Rattus norvegicus: one gene and its partners. The protein of the gene in region 2 purifies or fractionates together with the protein of the main gene of each other region. This does not show direct contact. Links are inferred from orthologs where the notes say so. Each region holds a gene or a part of one and is shown on either strand. Other genes may lie near its edges. The genes, in order: Mcm8, Mcmbp and Mcm2.

Region 1 (6,274 bases), on a different chromosome or scaffold from region 2:
TATAGCACTGGGCTTGAACCCAGCGCCTTCCCAGGTTGGGCCAGAACCATACCCATGGAAGAACACCGCATGGCAATGTAGGGTCTTGCAGTCTTTCCACTATTCTTCAGCCCAGTCTGTGATGGCATACAAAAACCTGAAAGTTGTTCGTAAAGCCCAAACTACACTTGATGATTGTAGATTTAAGGAGCATTTCATCAGGTTCATCTTTGTTTTTGTTTTGTTTTTGAGAGGGGATCTTTGTGTGGCTCTGACTGTCCTGGACCTTGATTTGTACAGCAAGTTGGGTTGCATTGGGAGATCTGCCTAACTGCCTCCCAAGTGCTGGGAGGTCCAACTGTCTTTAATTTCTTGTACACCAGTTCCTAGGAATCTGATGCCCTCTTCTGCCTTCCAGGCACAGAGAGGGAACCAGGCACACATGTGGCACACAGATACACATTCAGGCAAAACATTAAAAAATAAGGAAAATTTTAAAAATCCATATATATTAAAATTTTTGAGTGGTAACAAATGTTTTTAATCCCAGCACTTAGGAGGCCAAAGCAAGTGGATTTCTGTGAGTCTGAGTCCAGCCAGCCTGGTCTACAGAGAGTTCCAGGACAACCAAAGGCTGCCTGGAGAACCCTGTCTGCAAAAACAAAAAAATAAAATAAAAAATTTAAAAATCTATATACATTAAAAGAAAATGTAAAACACTTTTTTAAATTTTAAAATAACCATTCGAACTACTCATGTGTTTCTCAGACATAGGCAAACTTTGGATCATCCTGTGAGAAGTGGGAAAAAGGAAGAAAAAGCAAGCCAGAGGCCAGAGCCTTTATGGGGAGATGCTGGTGTGCTGAGCAGATGAGACACAGACGAGGTCTGAGTTGGAGAGTATGTAATTTTTTGGAGTTAAAAATGCTGGCTCTGAGGAAAAGGGAACAGCTTCAGCTGTCAGTCTAGCCCTGCGACAGCAGATACCAAAGCAAACAGATACAGACTCTAAGGGAACACTCAGCTGGGGTATGGCTCAGCTGGCAGAGTTCTTTTCTAGCATACAGGAAATCCAGAGGCGGAGGGCTAGGCTATATGGGAAGTTAAGGCCAGCCTGGGATTGTTTCAATTTAAAAAAAAGAAAAGAAAAAAGAGAAAAAGAAAAATCCAGGCAATGGCATGAAAGAAAGAGAAAAGGAATAAAGGAAAATTCGGGAGTTGGTGGTGCACAGCTTTAATCCCAGCACTTGGGAGGCAGAGGCAGACGGATCTCTGAGTTCCACAACAGCCAGAGCTACATAGAGGGAAACTTCTCAAAAACAAAAACAAAGTCAGTTTCTGTTCATAATTAGGGTTAGATTCCCTTGTGTGTAGTCTTAGCCTTTAATACAGTGGTGTGATAGGCCCATCTTTCTCTCATCATGGACTGATGGGACAGACTGAATATCAGTTACACATTCGTAAAATAATTAGCATTTGTTTAATTTTGGTTACTCAATGCACACTGCTTTTGTACGTGTGTAAGTGTTGGGGGCAGAGGCTGATGCTGCGTGACTTCCCCAGTTCAGTCAGGTTGGCCAGTGAGCCTCAGGGAACTGCCTTTCTCCTACCCCCACCCAGCATTCCATTACAAATGAAGCATCCTTAGCTTTTTATAAGAGAATCTGAGTTTAGATCCTCAGACTTCACCAAATGAGCCATCTCTCCAACTCAGCTTTTGGGTATTTTGTTTTTTAGCTTTTCATCTACCAGTTTCTTGGAAGTTAAGTGACTAATTTCCAATCCGTGGATCTTAAATGCTAAAGTGTTTGTTGGCTATATATACAAGGAATGCTTTGGCAAGAGGTCCAGTTCCATTTGAAGACTCACAAAAATATGGTGAATTCTGATTTCATGGAAACTTCCCAGCCTGTAATCCAGCGTTTCAAACCCATGCTTCTTCATGTGCTTTCTCTTTTGAACTTGCAGCATGAGGAGGCCGCATGAGGAGGCCGGATGAAGAGTGCGTCTTGCAGCTGCTCTGGTGCAGGCGACATTCCTTCACCTTCTGCAGAGACTTCCAGCTACAGGAATGGCATTGTCCCCCCCCCCCCCACCACTGAGCTAAATCCCCAACCCCGGGAAGGTTTTTTTGTTTTTTTTTTTAAATCATCAGCATTCAAACAATTCTGCAAACAATACTTCTCAGAAAAGACTTCTAATTAAGTCAATAAGTTTCCACCACTTTCAAATAAGAAGCCAAGTCAGACCCACTGCCCATAACCATAAAGTTAGAAACAAATGAAGAGTTTTTGTGACCTTAACAATTTGTGAGATTCAAAGTTTAATGTTTTAAATAAAACTTAAACACATACTAATTTATATATTATCTGAATGCCTGCTAGACATCTGATATACAAAACTAAAAAGCACTAATAAAAATATAAGCCAAAAGCATAAATAATGCTTATGTTATTTAGATAAAATAGTGGAAATAATTTACTCTTCGTATTCTTCTGGTAAATTATGGATATACCTTTTTTTCTGTTATGAGTTGTGTCATTTTTCAGAACTTTTATTTTCAGTTTTATATTTAAGATGATTCTGAAATTTTTTGAACTACAGGAGGCCCTGACATAGGAAAGTCTTTCACATAGTTTGAAGTTGATAAATCTTTGGGCCTTTTTTCAGGAGATAACCCTGGTCATTCAGTGATCCAATGAAGTTTTCAAAGTCAGCAACCTAAAAGCAAACGTTAAGAGTCAGCGCACTCAGTAACATGCCAAATATGACTTCCACATCAGTCTCTACAGAGACAGTTACCCAGCAAGCTTCTCGGGCAAATAAACAAAAAACAGCGTGTGCTTCGTGTAGCACACCATTAAATAAAGAACCCTCTGTCTTTACTAAGAGCCCAACCTCAGCTAAGACTAGCTTTGGACTAGCGTCTGAAAGTGCGTGATCTTACACCTCAACTACTTGCCATATTAACGTGCAGCTCTGTGGCTCCACTAGAGCTCCAAAGTAGGAGCAGCAGGGATCACGTCCATTCACCAAATGAGACAGGAGCCATCACGATGAGCAGCCACAGGACGCTCCAGAATAGACAGAGCACCAGTATTGCTTTTAAAAAAAGTCCTCAACTGAAATGCCAAAACCTTTGGGAAGAGGTAACAAAATCTCAAAACTAAAATGCGATTTTGTTCTCAGGCCTGGATATGCTTGCCTTTATTCCTAGCGCTCAAGAGACAGAGGCAGACAGATCTCTGAGTTCAAGGCCAGCCTGGTATGCAGAGTTCCAGGACAGCCAGGGCTACACAGAGAAAATGGCTAGAAAAACAAAACAAAGCAAAACAAGCAGTTTTGTTGTATTAAGGAGAACCCTCTGACACTGACCTCAGTATTTAGGTCATCCTACCTGAATGTTTAGCTCTTTAGCAATCTGACGAAGTTGATGAAATTGAAATATGTTGTTATACGTTCTTTCAGCAATGCTGTTGAGAGCAGAAATAAATCTTTTAGCTGTTGACCTGTTGCTCATTCCAGAGCCATGCTGGGATCGCTCAAAGTCCAGGTTTCCAAATTCATCTGAGTAAGTTCCTAGCATGCTTAAAGATGGAAAAGAAAGGATTAGCTGATTATCTCACATGGCAGGGCTACAGAAATTTTTGGGCTGGGTTTCCAATTCGTAATAGAAGTCTGGGAGTGGCTGTGAGACTTGGCTACTTTAAATCCATTATTATATAGATTGACATGAAAGTAGTTTGAACACAATTACTGATTTTTTTTAAAAGAACAAAACCACAACCAAAAACTTTTGCCAGGAGTAGGAGTAAATGCCTGTAATCTCAGTACTCAGGAGCTAAGGCGTAAGAACTCCCTTGAGTTTAAAGATAGCCGAAATACATCAAGTACCAGGCCAGTTAGGGATGTGGAGGGAGGGATCCTATCTCAAAACACCAAAACAAATTTGTAAATATGAAATGTAAACTGTAGAGTTGAAACCAAAAACATTTAACCAAAAACTTAAACTTAACCAAAAACATCGTTTCTGATTTATAAAACTAAAATTTCTGAACACAATATTTTGAGGTTTCCTAGGTAAGGGTGTGTTATTATTTCCTACCACAGCATCTACAAAGAAAAGATGTTTAAAACACTAGGAGGGCTGGAGAAACAGCTCCATAGTTTAGATCACAGACTGCTCTTGCAGAGGACTGGGGTTTAAAAGCACCCACAACTCCATGGGATTTCATCCTCTATTCTGGCCTCTTGAGGGCACTGTGCAGGCAAAATGCCCACACCCATAAAGAAATCTTAAAAATAAACACTTCTTTTTTTTTTTTTAAATCTTTTTTTCGGAGCTGGGGACCAACCCAGGGCCTTGTGCTTGCTAGGCAAGCGCTCTACCACTGAGCCAAATCCCCAACGCCAAAAATAAACACTTCAATACCCATTACAGATGGCATTGCCTGCCCTGTAAATCCAGCTCGACTGCTGATTCCCATCTGTACAATGGGACATAAGATCCCATTCGCAGCTTAGCAGGCAGTGTTTACTCAGGAACTATCAAATATGTACTGGTCACCCACTAGGACAGATCAGCACTGTCCTCAAGGAGTCCTCAGGATCTTGACAGTGACTAGCATTATGCTTAAGGAGTCCTTAGGGATGACCTTGATAGTCACGATCTGTTCCTTAGTAGATGAGAAACTCTAAAACAGAAATGTGCATAAAGTACGATGAAGACCAAATGTTACACTAATAACTGACACCTGGGAATTTAATCCACGCTACCTTGCTTCCACTTGAAAACCAAATTGTACACTATCTGGCAGACTTCCCCGAAGTAGAAAAGCTCTCAGCAACCTAATCTCAGGAAGTAGCGCTATTCTTCTTCCTACAATATTTTCACGATTGTAAACGTTATTTAGTAAACAGAAACTATTTACTAAATAAAAATGTTTACTTTCCAAAAATGTTAACTCTGCTAACTCAGATGAACTATGTTACGGTTTAGACTTTGCTTGCTCCGTCTTCTGCTTCCCAGTTGCAAACGTAATTTTATAGGTATAACACATTAACCATGGTTTCAATGAAGCAGAAGAGATAGGAACTGCAAAAGGGCAAACATTTTTGAGTAATGAAGGACATTTAATACCATGTGCCAGCCATGATTCTGGCCCTGGAAGACCCTGGTAAAAGAGGAGGTCCTCGTTCTCATAGACTGAGAAAGCATGGTAAGTCTAACAAATCTCAATGTGATGTGTTTAGCTGGCTCTCCATCTCTGAGAATGCCAGATAATCCAGGCACTTAGATCAAACAATTCTCTCCTCTTGTTGCTGACATACTGAATTAAAGAGAAAAGTCTCCTTCCACAGACTGCCTATGAAGTCAGGAAACAAGCAGCAGATGTAGCTCAGGCCTTAGGGGCAGCAGGGTGCCCTTCTGCCCATAAGCAGAGGAAAGGAGCCACAGACACAGAACAAGCGTGAGCACAAGCAAAGTGAGGTGAAGTCTCCCTACAGGGGAAGGGAGAAAATGATCATGAGCTCCACCCCCTACTGATCAGGACAGCAATAAGTGCCAGACCCTAAGACTTTTTTGTAACTTCTGATCTGACCTCAGTTTATGGCCTTGAGTCGGAGAAGGAGGACCTATGCAGTCTCACCTTCACAGGGTCAAATCTGGCAGACAGTAGTGCCCACTAGCATGCACCGCACTAGCACTGGAGAACACTATAATTGTGTGTACACATGCTCCAACACAAGTGTGAGATCGGAGAGCAGCTCTGTGGAGTTATTTCTCTCCTTCCACATTTACTTTGTTTCCAGGCATCAAGTCATCTGATTTGTATGCCAGGCACTGTTACTGTGCTGAGCCACCTTGTGACCCCCGTGGTAAAACCTGCCATGGCGGTCTCAAGTTGGACTGCAAAATCCTTGTTATTCAACTGTATAAAACTGTTATTCAGGAGCAGAGAGGAACTAGCAAAGCACGCTGATTCTGACATGAAGCAAACTCGTATCTATACATCTGCCTTTGAAGAAACAGGTATTACCTAACAAAAACACCAAACGGAAGGAAGAAAGGACAGAGAAAAGAGGAGATAGAGAGAAAGGAGAAGGGGAGGGGAGGAAGGATAAAGGATTGGGAAGAGAGGTGAAAAAGAGAAGGGGAAAAAACAGATTCCTAAAAAAATTAAGCAAGGGGCAGCAAGATGACTGCGCAGGTAAAGGTGTTGCCAAGACTGTGAGTTCAATCCCTGGGACCCATGTAGAGGAAGGAAGAACTGACTTCCAGAAGTTGTCCTTG
Region 2 (7,190 bases):
CACAGGGATCTATTTCCTGATGACTCCCCTTATACATGATTACCTCAGAAAAACCTGAATTCCAAAACAATCACTTTGCATAATTAACATCAAAAATGATTTTTTTTATTTTAGACCACAACAGGAAGAAAAAAACCTAATTATCAAGAAGAGAAAAAGGACAGAAAAGGGCACAGAATGAGATATACCTTTTAAGGGGATGCTCTGAGTGACCTTCTTCTAATCAGGTCCCTTCATGACTACACTCTTCTCAATTAAGGATCCATTGATGGGCACTGGAGATGTAGCTCAGCCTGGGCTACATAGTCAGTTCCAAGGAAACCTGGGATAGATGATAGATAGATAGATAGATAGATAGATAGATAGATAGATAGATAGAATCTCAGCACATAGATTTAATTTGTATATTATAAGGCACAGAGCTAAAATACGAAATTTCCCTCATTCAATTCCAAGAACATGGCTACTTTCTCTACTGAAAGAATGGATGAATAAAGTGGAAATACCATCTCTCATAGTTACTTTTCTTCTGTTGTGATACAATACTATGACAAGAAAACTTACAAAGATTTTAATTGGGTTTATGATTTTACAGGGTTAGAGTCTATGATGGCAGGGCAAAGGCCTGGTGACAGAACAGCTGACATCTCATGATCTGAAAACAGAAGGCAGAGAGTGCACACTGGGAGTGGTGGGAGGTTTCTGAAGCTAAGTCTGCCGCCATGACACATCTCCCCCCCCCCCAACAAGCCACACCTTTTAATCCTTCCTGAACAGTTCTACCAACTGGGAATCAAGTATTCAAACATTTGAGCCTATGGGGACTATTCTCATTGAAACAACTACATTGTCCTAGCCTTGTTAGCTTTCTCAACTCACAAAGCCAGACGTAAAGTCAGATTGAAATGCCAAGTCCAAATTACCTCTTTCATCCCAAAGCAAACCAGGGTGTCATTCCAAATCATGCTACTTTGGCATAAAGATTATCTTGAGCGAAGGCAACTGAACAGAACCACATATAAGAAAATCTCCTGCCTTCCCACTGTTTGTACAAAAGCAGGATATAGGGTTTCAAGGCTTCCTCCCTCCCTTTCTACCAGAAAAGACAGAAGCTAATCACCTGGAAGAACTTATATAAGATTTTATATACTATGTTAACCATGAAACTCTCATGTTTTGATTTCCTGCAACTTGTTGCCTTTGGGAACTAAGAACTACCTTCTTCTGTCATTTCTCTACAATGTTATTGTTCTTTGTGGATGATTGCTGTATAACCTCGAATTCTAAGATATTAAATTACTTTTTCCCAGTTGTTCATAAACTTGTGGCACACATGTTCATGAACTTAATTTTTTTTTTCAAGACAGGGTATCTCTGTGTAGCCCTGGCTGTCCTAAAACTCACTCTATAGACCAGGCTGGCATCAAACTCAGATTCACCTGCCTCTGCCTCCTGCGTCCTAGGATTAAAGGTGTGTGCCACCACTGCTTGGCTCTTAATATTTATTTATTTGTTTGTTTGCTTTTGAGACAGGGTCCTATGTAGCTCAGGCTGGCCTCAAATTGGGTATGTGGCCAAGGCTGTCTGTGAACTCCTGACCTTCCTTGCCTATATCCCAAATGCTATAATTTAAAGATAAGTTCATTCCAGGGGACCAAGAAAGGCAGAGGGGCAGGTTTGGTACCCTTTCCCTTCTGCCCTAGAGATTCCTGGGTTCAGTCAAAGCTGCCTCTGTTCATCTATTGCCATCTCTCCCTCTTTTATCCCTTGCTAGGGATTAAATCCAGGTGCCTCTGGCATACCAGGCAAGTGCTCTGCCACTGAGAAGTTCTTATTCTTCAGCTATCTAGATGCTATTCAGATCACCGCTACCTTTTTAAAGCCAAGTAGGTATAGATGGTGAAACCAGGGTTTTCTGAGGTACATCCCATACACAGGGAAAATGTCTTCTTTATGAAAACTTGACAGTTCCTAAGTTCTCTAGACTACAGGTTACAGTGGAGCTGCCCTTCTGCGTCGCCCTGTAAGAGTATTCTGATCTGTATGCTGTACAGGTATCTTGCCATAGCTCCCTAGTTGTCAGGTTGGAAGCAGAAGGGCTCTGGGTGTTTTTGAGGTTAGAAACTAAAGGCTGGGCTAGGAGAAAGTTCTGAGTGCTTGCCAGCTCCTTGGCCATATTGAGAAGCCCACAAGGCTACAAAGCCTCCTTGATTAAATCGTTCAGGAAGAACTCACTGAGCTGGGGGCAAGTTCTTTTACAGGATTTTGTGCAGGGCACCTTAGAAGAGTTCTACCACCAGAGTCACAAAGAGATCCGATGATCAGACACCGAATGGCGTTTCAACCCCTAATTTTGCTCAGAGATGACTCTTGAGGTTGGCTGAACTTGTGGCTTTTGGTCCGTGTGCAAGGTCTCAAACTTTGAGCCAATGAGGCACCCTGATGGAGTTTGCCTCCAACGCGCGAACACGGTGACCACTATACTCAAGCACAGTAGCCTTCCTCTGCCCGTCTCCAAGATGGCGGCCCCGGGATTGCCCTATCTCTACCCGTCTCCAAAATGGCCGCCCGCCCCGCCCACTCCCTCCCCTCCGGGAGTGCGCAGCACGCTCCCGCCGCCCCTCCTTCTTGAGCTCCACCCAGGTCTCTGGTAGCGCGGTCGGTGGCCGCGATTTCCCGCCATTGTGAGAAGTGGAGGCTGGGACGATCTCCCCTCCTCCGGTCGCTGGACAGCAGCTCTGAGACACTCGTCACCGTCGCCGCAACCACCTCTCCTTGAGACGCGCGGAGGCCCGTGGCTCGCGACGCCCGGCGCGTGGGAGGGCGCGGACGAGGAGCGGCTGAGCCCCCGAGGAGAAGCCGGGCTCCGAGCGCGCTCGCCCGGCAGAGAAGCGCCGCGCGGGCCGCGCTGGCCCCAGCCCTCAGCGCCATGCCCTGTGGAGAAGACTGGCTGAGCCACCCGCTCGGGATCGTGCAAGGCTTCTTCGGTGAGTGGCGCGTGGCGAGCAGGGCCGGGAGGGGAGCGGAGTTTGCGGGACCAGGCCTGCCGCGCGGCCACACTCGGGACGGCGGTCCGGGAGAATCACTGCCGAGGGCTCGCGTGGCCCCGGGCCTGGCAGCCAAGCAGAAGCAGCGGACTCGGGCCGCGGACGCAGGTGCCACCACCTCCCGTCACCTGCCCGCTGCCGGGCTCTGGCTCGCTGGCGGCGTGGACCCAGCTGCGAGCGCTGGCAGTGATTGACGGCCTGGCTCCCGGCTGGTGGCCTACCTAGCCCGGGTCCTGCAGACACGAGAGGTCCCCTTGCCCACGGAGGGCCCTCAGAGCGGTCGCGAAGAGAAGCCACTGCCTGTGGGAGCCTGCGGGATATTTCAAAACTTCCGGGGTGTGTGTAGGGGAGTGCTGGATCCTTCGCACAGAAGTTCATTCTGTTTCCACGTCTCCCTTGACATCCGAGAGAATGCTTCATTTTTTACCCCTGCTCTGTTGACTTAAAAACCCGTCAGCTCTGTTATTAGTTCCTGTACCAGGGCTAGCTAGAAATGCTCAGCTACTTAGATGAGTTGATACAGAACGAGAGCCGAGAGTGCTGTAGGCAAGCTGAGTAAATTTTAGTTGTAATTGTCATGGTTACTTTTTTTTTTTTTTTTTTTTTTTTTTTTTTTGCTTTACTGGACCTCCAATTCCCATTCGAATCCCTGATTTCGGTGCGCTTAATGACTGGCCGGAGCCACCAGTCTCCGTGGAATGTGTTTTCTGTACTAATGCTCCCACAGGATCCGATTCATTTTACCTAGAATTCTAACTACTCAGGTAGTTTCCCAGGGTGAAACTAAACCCGGTAGATAAAAGGACTGGGTAGACCTTAAGATTATAGCCAGTGAACACACAGTCTGATAAAGAGGAGCAGGGATGTGCAAGCCCACGAAAGAGTAAAACATGGGCTTGGGATATTATAGCTCAGTAGTAGAATGCATGCCTGGCCTGATGATGGTCTGAGTGTAGTGCAGGTGGAGAGAAGCTAGATCCATACCTAGCAATCTAGGGTGGTTTTCAAGGGGTGTGTGTGTATAAGCAGCTTACCTGTCATTCTGTCACCTGGAAGACAGCTCTGTCTCTAAAAAGAGAAAAAGGGTCCTATGTCCCTTCACCAAGTGCTAGTAATTGAAGTTCAGAATACTGCAGTCAACAGTTGAGACTAATAACAGATTAGCCCAGCCAAGATTCAGTTCTGGACTGGCTGAAAGTGCAAATGTGTAGATACATTCGAAGGAAAAGCTCCCCGTAGTTAAAGGTTTGGGACTTACAGGGTAAAGTTCCAATGACCGACCCCCAGAATTCCTTATCCTTTACTTTGAGGCAGATCTCTAACCTGATCTGGTCTCATGGAAGTCCTCCTGCCTCATCCTTTGGAGTGTGCCTGTGCCACTTGCCCAGCCAGAATCTCCATTTGTGAGAAATATCCCAGTACCCTGGTCTTGCTGTAGGAATGACGTGGTTTTAAATGCAATACAGATTGGATATATCGTTGTCGCGTTTCGTTCCTTAAGTGTGATCCTAAGGTATCACACCTCTTTATTGTACAGGAAAACACAGAACTTGATTACAAGTACTGTAGTATTTTCTAAATCTTGTGGAATGTTGTGGAAAGGTCATTGTTGCCCTCTGAATGGCTCTTAAGTGTAATCTGCCCTGCTCTGTATTTCCACTGTGTTTTCCTGTGGCTGTCATTCCGTTGGGCACCTTTATGATAAGAGTATTGAAGTTGCTGTATGAAAAGTTGGAGACTTTGGTCTGTGTTTGATTTTCGGTTTTGGTACTGGGGATTGAACCCAGTACAGGCAGGCAGGTACATAGTCCATCCCTGAAGATGGTCTTACTGGCTCCACACCAAGCGTCCCTCCAAGTGTTGCATCGGCTTCAGATATTAAATATCTCTTGACCCTGTCAGATATCTTCATCTTCAACACTGCTGCCATAGCCCAGGACCTTGTAGTCATGTTTTAGACTTCTGCAACAGCTTCCAAGTCTCTTGCACTTATATGCTACAACCAGTGGCTTCCGGCTGCTTCTAGAGACTTTCCCTGTTTGGGTTTTAATTTTATAAGTAACCCCAGGTTGCCCTTGAATTCTCCATTTTCCACCTCAGCCTCTTGGTGTGTGGAGATTACTAGTAAATATCACTGTAGTTGTGTTGACCTGAGTATGTTATGACCTCAGTACCTGACCTACACCTTTTTCCTCCTCTGATGCCCTGTACACTGTATAGCCCAGGCTGGGCTTGAGCCTCTAAATTCTGGGATTACAGGCATGTACTGTCTCTTCTGGCTTTCATCGGTATGTCTTCTGAGGTGTTTTTATATCTACTTGTGCTTTTCTCTGAGGATACATGGACATGGACAGGGGCCCTTGGATACCAGAAGTTATAGGCCCTTGTGAGCTCTTTTCCTGTGGGTGCTAGGATACACTTTTTACTCTTAATTTTCCTCTTATTTTCGTTTGTTTCCTTGTTTGGCTGAGACTGTTTGATGTGGCTCAGGTTGGCCTCCAGCTCCCTAATCAAACATGCCCCTACTTTCCAAGTGCTGGGCTCACATCCACGTCTCACTGTGCTTACCCCCACCCCATATGAATAATTTGAATTACTACCCACTTTGACTTAAGCTCTTGTCATTTTACCTAGGCTGGCATCCACCACTTCCTGGGTTCAAGTGACCCTCCTTTAGCTTCTAAGTAGCTGGGACCACCAGTAGGAGATGGGCCACTAGTCGTACCCATAACAAACAACACACACACACACACACACACACACACACACACACACACACACACACACACACACACGCCTGCTCGCTCGCTCTCTCACTCAGCCGTCCCACTGGCCACGTAACTGCTCTTGATTCCAGGTAGCTTGTAACAGCTGCCTCTTCATTTTAGGTGTTTCAGTTTTGGCTTAGTTGGGTTCCTTGGTTCATTCTAATGGATGAGGCTGGCCAGCGTCTGAAGGAGGAAGTCTGAGACTAATCACTAGTGTTTTCAAAAGTTCAAAGCAGTAATGAGATCAGCGGAAGCTGCTCTGTTCTTGTCATCAGTCCACTGTCTTGTGTGCACCCAGTGTGGAGCTCTTCACCTACTGCCCGGCTCTTGATAGGTGCTAAAGAGTAATTTATGGTAAGACTAGAGCCCAGGGAAAGGGCCTGGGTGTTTTGAGGAACTGCGTTCTAGGACTAAGAGAAGCAGGAGGACACTCGGCTCTGTGTGTTAACTTGCAGTTTTTCTCTTCCGTATCAAACTCACTTGTCCTCAGTGCCAGCACATACCTCATCCCAAATTCTAGGGGTAGAAAATCTACTGTCATCTCATGATTAGCTACCTCTGATGGCCATGAGGGTTGTTGTGTAGGACAGTCATGGCCATTGAGGAGGTTTTCAAAGAAACCTGAATTGAACAGCCATGGCAAAATGTGTGAGTATTTAAGCTATAAATAAGAACTAACATGTGGTTACAAGGCCAATACAGATCTGCTAAGTTAGTTATTATATGTTCTCCCGTTGAATGAAACTCCTTTTGTTTGATTTTTCTATTTTTTTAAGACAGGATCTCACTATGGAGACCAGGCTGGCCTCAAACTTACATCTATCCACTTGCCTCTGCCTCTGCCTCTGGTGTGCTGGGATTAAAGCCGTGTGGCACCAAGCCTTGCTCAGCTGTTCCTACTTTCCAGTGGTTTGTGTGTGGCTTTCTGGGGTGGCGAAACATTCTTATTCAGATATAATTCACATAAAACTTATAACAGGAATGTATATTTGATCTTGTAAAGCAAGCCTGTAGCCACAGGTACTTGGGAGGTTGAGGCAGGAGGATTGAGTTGAAGGCCTGCCTGGGCAACTAATGAAAATCTGTCTCAAAATAAAAAGGCACAAAAGCAACATAACTGAGTGTTACTGGGTATTATAGGTGGCACTTTAGGTTTAAGGCTACTAAATCCTATAAATAAATATTCAATGGTTTTTGCTATCTTTAAATTACATTTAGTGTGAGAGAGAATGAATGAGGGCACAGGAGTGCCACACACAGCTCATGTGTGGAGGTCAGAGGACAACTTGTAGGAATTGCTTCTTTTCTCTCTATTGTGTGGGTCTGCAGAGATCAGACTCGGGTCATCAGGTTTCTCAGCAAACAGCCTTCATCA
Region 3 (6,401 bases), on a different chromosome or scaffold from region 2:
GTCCGAGGGGCTGCTGGGCACGGAGGGGCCTGTGGAGGAAGAAGAGGATGGAGAGGAACTCATTGGTGATGGCATGGAGAGGTATTTTCAGTCTGGGCTGTGGTTAGGTGGCTTAGCAGAAGGACCCTTGTGTCTGGTAGCCTGGCCTTGGGGATCCATGAGTGTATGAACCAACCTGGTGACTTTGCCTTTGAATGTGGTTTGGTTGGGATTGGGGGAGTGGGTGTTCGTTAGCTCACTGTATACAGTTCAAACTAGATGCTAAGGCCCAGCAACCCCAGCTCAGGAGAACAGAACCCACAGAGTTTGATCTGAAGAGCCCTGCAGGGTGGCACCAACTCAGAAAGATGGGTTCAATCAGCAAACTTGCACTAGCCTGCGTCAGGCTCTGGGTCCCAAGTAAGTGTTCAGGTTTGTAAGCAGACATACAGAAGGTCTGAGGCTGTCAGGAAACATCCAGCGGGATGTAGACCTGTGACCACATAGGAGCCTGTGTCACCCTCCCTTTGTACCTTTCCATAGGGGATATCGGAGGGCTATGAGCCTTCGTAGGGACTGTAATTTTCTGCTCCTTTTGATTCTTTGCTTTAACACCACCAGGCTACGTATGAAGAGACTATGTCTGCAATGAACGCCCATGTATGACAGGAGTTGATACAGATCATCCTGGGCTCATCGTCAAGGGCTTCCCTGCAGAATTGCTCTCAGGGGGCCTCCTGTACCACCTCCTCTTATTCTTGTATTTGTACCTCTGGTTTTGTTTGGTTGTTTTTATTGTTGTTGTTTGAGACAAGGTTTCACTGCGTAGCCCTGACTGTCCTGGCTTTTATAACCTCTTCTTTAAAGTGAGAGACATTTTGGAGATGTCTGAGGACTATCTGACTTTGTATGGAAAGAGGCTAATTTCTATATATAAGCCTTATCCTTATATATACAGCACAGGGATGGTCCATGCATGCTTTCTGAGCACCATTTTTATCACCCCCACTGTGGTCTCTTCTGCCTGTTGATCCCAGTTCTAATCATATTACTAGGGCTGGAATCACTGTGTTCATCCTTTTGTGCCAACATTTCACTCTGCGGTGTCTTCAAAGTAAAGTCTTTTTTTTTTTTTTTTTAAATGATTTGAGTGTTTGACCACATGCATACCTATGCCTGCAGAGACCAGAAGAGGGCGTCAGGCCCCATTAAACGTGTTAATGAGGTTGCTACTATGTGGATGTGAAAACTGAACCCAGGTCTTCTGCAAGAGCAGCCAGTCATTTTTTTTTAATGTCTTATTTTTTTAATATTTAATTGCATGACTCACTGTGTTTGTGTGTGGGTGCATGTGCCATGGTATGCTTGTGGAGGTCAGAGGACGGCTTGCTGGAGTTGAAATTTGATGAAACCCAGATTGTGTGGTTTATGGGCTTCAGTGTAGGCTAACTAGAACCTCACTGAGTGTGCTTCAGGTAACTGGGATCCTCTAAGGATCAGAACACACTCTTCTCAGAAACTATTACTTTCTGCACAGAACTAGTCGGCATGTCTGCCTGCTTTGCCTCGCCTTTGGCGGTTTTGAAATTGTTTGTTTTGAGAGGGTAGTTTGAGAACATTAGCCAGTCACTCTGAGAAAGGGAGAGCTCCAGGGGTCTGTTTCCCTAGTAGGTCCCTGCTTCTGTGGGGAGGCCTGTGGCACTGAGGAAGGAGCTTGCAGCCTGTTGCACTGCACTTGTCCCTTAGTCCTGATGATCGACTATAAAATCGGGCACCGTAGGGAAGCTGGGCTTGGCCCTCCGTTAGATGATGCTTCCTTTCAAGGACCAAACACGCGGTCACCTGGAAAGAGACTGCTCAGACTTGAGCCACTGGGCGAGAGCTTTTCAGGCAGCCTGTCTGTCTGGGTTGTGTTCAGTTGGGGAGAAGGCATAGGGAGGGTGTCATCCTGGGACACACTGGGATCTGCTCTCTGACCTTACTGGTGTCAGGGTCTTGGCACCCTCTAATTCCATTTCATTTTCTTTTTAAATTTTAAAAAATGATTTGTTTACTTTATGTGCGTTGGTGGTTTTATTTACCTGCACATATATCTGTGTGAGGGTGTTGGGTCCCCTGGAACTGGAGTTACAGACAGTTGTGAGCTGGGAATTGAACCCAGTTCTTCCTGAAGAGCAGCCATTGCTCTTTACTGAGCCATGTCTCCAGCCCCTACTTCCATTTTCTTATCGGGAGTTAGGAGCTCTTTGGAGATCCCCCATATAAAAAAAGAAAAAGAAAAGTGTGTGTCCTTGAGTGTCTGGAGTTTATGCACATGGGTGTATAGGTGGCCGCAGAAGCCAGAAGAAAGTGTCAGATCCCCCACCTGAAGTTGGAGTTCTACAGGTTGGTTTATGAGCTATCTGAACTGAGAGCTGGGAACTCGGGTCCTACTGAGCCTTCTCTCCAGCCCAGCCCCCTCAATTAAATGCACAGCAAAGTGTTTCTCCATTTTTAGTGTGTGGCTCAGTGGCATTCATCTGCCTCAGTCCTCCAGAACTTTTTATTGTCTCAAAACTGAATCTTCCCCCAGAATACTGACTTCCTGTCCCCATTTGGGTCTGACCCCTCAGGATCCCATAGGAGTTGTATGGCTTAATCCATTGGTGAAACGTCGTCGAGATTCATCCATGCAGGTTCACCTGTCAGATTCCCCTTCTGTTTTAAGGTTGAGTGATAATCTACCCTGTGGGTTTGTCCACTGATCACCCTGGGATGTTACCGCTAACTCCTTTAAAGTTTGCCTTGACTGACCTCAAACTCTCAGATCTGCCTGATGGCCTCCTGGCTCCTGGAAGTAAGGCTACTAGACCCAGTTAAAATGGTTGTTGTTTAATTTAAAAAGTTATATGTGGGTGTATCTGTAGTACATACATTTGAGGTGCAGGTGCCCAGTATGGGTGCTGGGAATTGGATTCTTATTCTCTCAGCAAGAGCAGTTTGTGAAGTAGGTGCCGTGGCACACACACAGCTTTAATCCCAGCACTTGGGAGGCAGAGACAGATAGATCTCTTGAGTTCCAAGACAGCCACAGCTACACAGGGAGTAGTACATTGCTCTTTCAACCCCTGAACCATCTCTAGCCCCAGATGTGTTCACACTGTTGAGAGAAGACCTGGTTAACCAGTTAGTACCTTTCATATTTCCATCGGTGTCCTGAAATTCTAGAGATTTTCCCACTTTAGTTATCCAAAGAATTCTATTGCATTTATTAAGTTTTTGTACTTTCTGACCTGTGTTCTGAGTCCCCCATTTCCTCCCTGACTGTGACAGTTTTCATGCTTTCTTGTTTCTGATGAAAATGGTGCCAATTGGTGACTGTAAAAATGACCTTATTTGATACTTTGTTGGTAATTCTCTCGAGCAGGTTAGGTTGGGAGACTGCATATAGGGGAAGCATTGGCTGCAGCCATCACATATCACCAGCAGGTGGCGCTGTGGATGTGGGGCTTGCTCTCCTGCCCAGACTCACGTGTACCTCATGCATACAGATGGACCCCCTTTTCCATCCTATTGATTTATGCCTCCTTGATGGAGTCCCTAAATCATATTCTTGAACATTTCAACTTCCTGTTTGCAGCTGTCCAGCAAAGCCTGTGGAGCAGAACTAATTCTCAGGTGGGTTGTTTGAGGATTCATTGTCCACTGCTGGCCTCTTGCAGAGACTACCGTCCCATTCCCGAGCTCGATGTCTACGAGGCAGAGGGATTGGCCCTGGATGATGAAGATGTGGAGGAGCTGACAGCCAGTCAGAGGGAGGCAGCTGAGCGGGCTATGAGGCAGCGGGACCGTGAGGCTGGCAGAGGCCTGGGTCGCATGCGTCGTGGGCTGCTGTATGGTATGTGTGGAGGGCATCCCATAGGTGCCACTTGGACCACCAAAGCCTCGGGAGTGGGGAAGACATGGGTGGCAAGTGTGCAAAGGATGCTGGGAGAGACTTGCTCACAGGAGTTCCTTGCTACTACCCAAGACAGCGACGAAGAAGATGAGGAGCGGCCTGCCCGTAAGCGCCGCCACATAGAGCGTGCCACAGAGGATGGCGAGGAGGATGAAGAGATGATTGAGAGTATTGAGAACCTGGAGGACCTCAAGGGCCACTCGGTGCGAGAGTGGGTGAGCATGGCAGGGCCCAGACTGGAGATCCACCACCGTTTCAAGAACTTCTTGCGCACCCACGTGGACAGCCATGGCCACAACGTCTTCAAGGAGCGTATCAGTGATATGTGCAAAGGTATGTTCCTGATAGTCTGGGGTGAGGTGTAGCACTCACCATGAGTGAGGTCCTGGTTCAGTCTCAGCAGTAAAGGGTGAAGGTGGCCTGGCTTCTGTATCCTGCTGGCTTTGTTGTACCACACTGAGCCACATAATGGACAGAAACATTTGGTTGCAAGGACAGAACCTGCGGAACCCAAGGTTTCCTGCATCTGCACCAGAGCTAGGCTGTTTGAAGATGTGCTTAAAAATGTATTACTACCCTGTTTTGTTTTTTGGAGGGCTTATTTCTTTGTTTGGTTTGGTTCGGTTGATTGGTTGGGTTTTGCAGTCAGGTTGAACCCAGGGCCTAGCAAGTGTTCTCCCACTGAACCACTCCCCAGCCTGTGCTTTACAACTTTGATCCAAAAGTGGGAGCGTTTCTACATGACAGCATTGGCTTTACAGGGTACAACAGCTTGGGGCTGTGGCAGCCCCTCCAGCAATGACAGTAGCTTCTCCTTGGCCTCTGGCACTCTGCTCTGTAGCCTGAGGGCTCTCTATTTCTCCTGGAAATGACATCCCCAGAGATCTGTGTGCTGTTAATATTATCACTTGGGTCTCTATTGCACAGCCACAGGTAGTGGGTCTAGGGTGTAAACTGGAATTTCTGTCCCTCTCAGGTTTGTTTTGGGTAGAGGGGTTTGGCCAGCAGGGTTCTAAGATGTTAGACACCTTCATGGCCCCTGGCTATGTCATCTGTCCCATCCACTATCCTCCTCAGAGAACCGGGAGAGTTTGGTGGTAAATTATGAAGACCTGGCAGCCCGGGAACATGTGTTGGCATACTTCCTACCCGAGGCACCCGCTGAGCTGCTGCAGATCTTCGATGAGGCTGCCCTGGAGGTTGTGCTGGCCATGTACCCTAAATATGACCGCATCACCAACCACATTCACGTGCGCATCTCCCACCTGCCTCTGGTGGAGGAGCTGCGTTCACTGAGGTGAGCAGTGTGGGAGAGCGGGGCCTCATCCAGAGAGTGGTGAAGGAAGTGGTCCCATAGCCTCCCGATGCCTCTGACGTGCTTGTTACCTCTCAACACAGGCAGCTACACCTGAACCAGCTCATCCGTACCAGCGGTGTGGTGACCAGCTGCACTGGAGTCCTGCCCCAGCTCAGCATGGTCAAGTATAACTGTAGCAAGTGCAACTTTATACTGGGGCCTTTCTGCCAGTCTCAGAACCAGGAGGTGAAGCCTGGTTCCTGCCCTGAGTGCCAGTCAACTGGGCCCTTTGAGATCAACATGGAGGAGGTGAGTAGCACAGACCTGCCACACTGTCTTCAGTATGCAAGGCCTGGGCCATCTACAGGGCCAGAAGACTTTGAGGCAGTTAAACATGGCAGCACGAAGTAGATTGACCCCATGTCTTCAGTAATTCAGCATATTTGAAACTAGGTGATGTTCAGTGTATCCACATTAGTGATCTCTAAAGATAGTGGCAAACAGGGCCACTTAGACCTGTCCACCCCAGTAGAGCACCTACATGCCTATCACATGGGCACTTGGACCGTCTGTCGTCTCATTTGGTGGGCCTGACTGGCTCCTCGTGATTTGTGGGTGTATCCAGGGTTATACCACCTTGGATCCTGCAGAGCCTTGCTTGGGAGACTGTGTACCTCCTGACTCTGAAATCCTGGGGCCAGCATGGATGCCTTTGTACTTGTCTTCATCTGCAGCTGCCCCTACCTCTCCCCCACTGCTGCCTGGCTCTGGGAGTGTTAGCACTCATGATGCTTTCTGTGGTTCTGAGCTGTCTAGTTTAGAGCTGCCTGGCCAGGAGGTTGCCCATGACGGTGTTCAAGCCCAGCTCTGCTTTAACCTGGGTGACCCAGCTCCAAGGCTGCACTTAGCTGTATCCCTTTGTCCTTTGCAGCCCCACCTTGGACTTTGGCCCCAGGACACTGAGCTGTACAACAGGAATTAACAAGTGGGGTCAAGTGTGTGCTGGCCTTGCTGGCTGCCAGGAGTGTTCCTTGGGTCTTTGTCTTGATTATGTTCTGGGAGGGAGGTTCCACGGCTCTCTTCTCATGTAAAAACAGGTGTTTGGAGGCTTGATTGTCTAAAGTCTCCCGTGCTGCAGTGTCCTGAGGAACAGGCGAGCATGTAGATGTGACTGTGTGCTTCTTCTAT

What was found.
Region 1: the proteins of Mcmbp (region 2) and Mcm8 purify together in Homo sapiens (co-immunoprecipitation; 3 studies listed by BioGRID and IntAct, with this or other methods). This does not show direct contact. The link is inferred for Rattus norvegicus from reciprocal best matches to the Homo sapiens genes MCMBP and MCM8.
Region 3: the proteins of Mcmbp (region 2) and Mcm2 purify together in Homo sapiens (co-immunoprecipitation; 6 studies listed by BioGRID and IntAct, with this or other methods). This does not show direct contact. The link is inferred for Rattus norvegicus from reciprocal best matches to the Homo sapiens genes MCMBP and MCM2.

What each region holds. Positions count from the first base shown.
Region 1 is NC_086021.1:140,565,782-140,572,055, reverse strand, and holds the end of Mcm8 (DNA helicase MCM8), read right to left. Parts: intron 3,567-6,274; coding exon 3,377-3,566; intron 2,701-3,376; coding exon 2,608-2,700; 3' UTR 2,165-2,607; downstream 1-2,164. UniProt on the Homo sapiens protein: Component of the MCM8-MCM9 complex, a complex involved in the repair of double-stranded DNA breaks (DBSs) and DNA interstrand cross-links (ICLs) by homologous recombination (HR).
Region 2 is NC_086019.1:192,742,839-192,750,028, reverse strand, and holds the start of Mcmbp (mini-chromosome maintenance complex-binding protein), read left to right. Parts: upstream 1-2,647; 5' UTR 2,648-2,929; coding exon 2,930-2,987; intron 2,988-7,190. UniProt on the Homo sapiens protein: Associated component of the MCM complex that acts as a regulator of DNA replication.
Region 3 is NC_086022.1:122,910,576-122,916,976, reverse strand, and holds part of Mcm2 (DNA replication licensing factor MCM2), read left to right. Parts: coding exon 1-81; intron 82-3,680; coding exon 3,681-3,856; intron 3,857-3,988; coding exon 3,989-4,249; intron 4,250-4,993; coding exon 4,994-5,213; intron 5,214-5,314; coding exon 5,315-5,522; intron 5,523-6,401. UniProt on the Homo sapiens protein: Acts as a component of the MCM2-7 complex (MCM complex) which is the replicative helicase essential for 'once per cell cycle' DNA replication initiation and elongation in eukaryotic cells.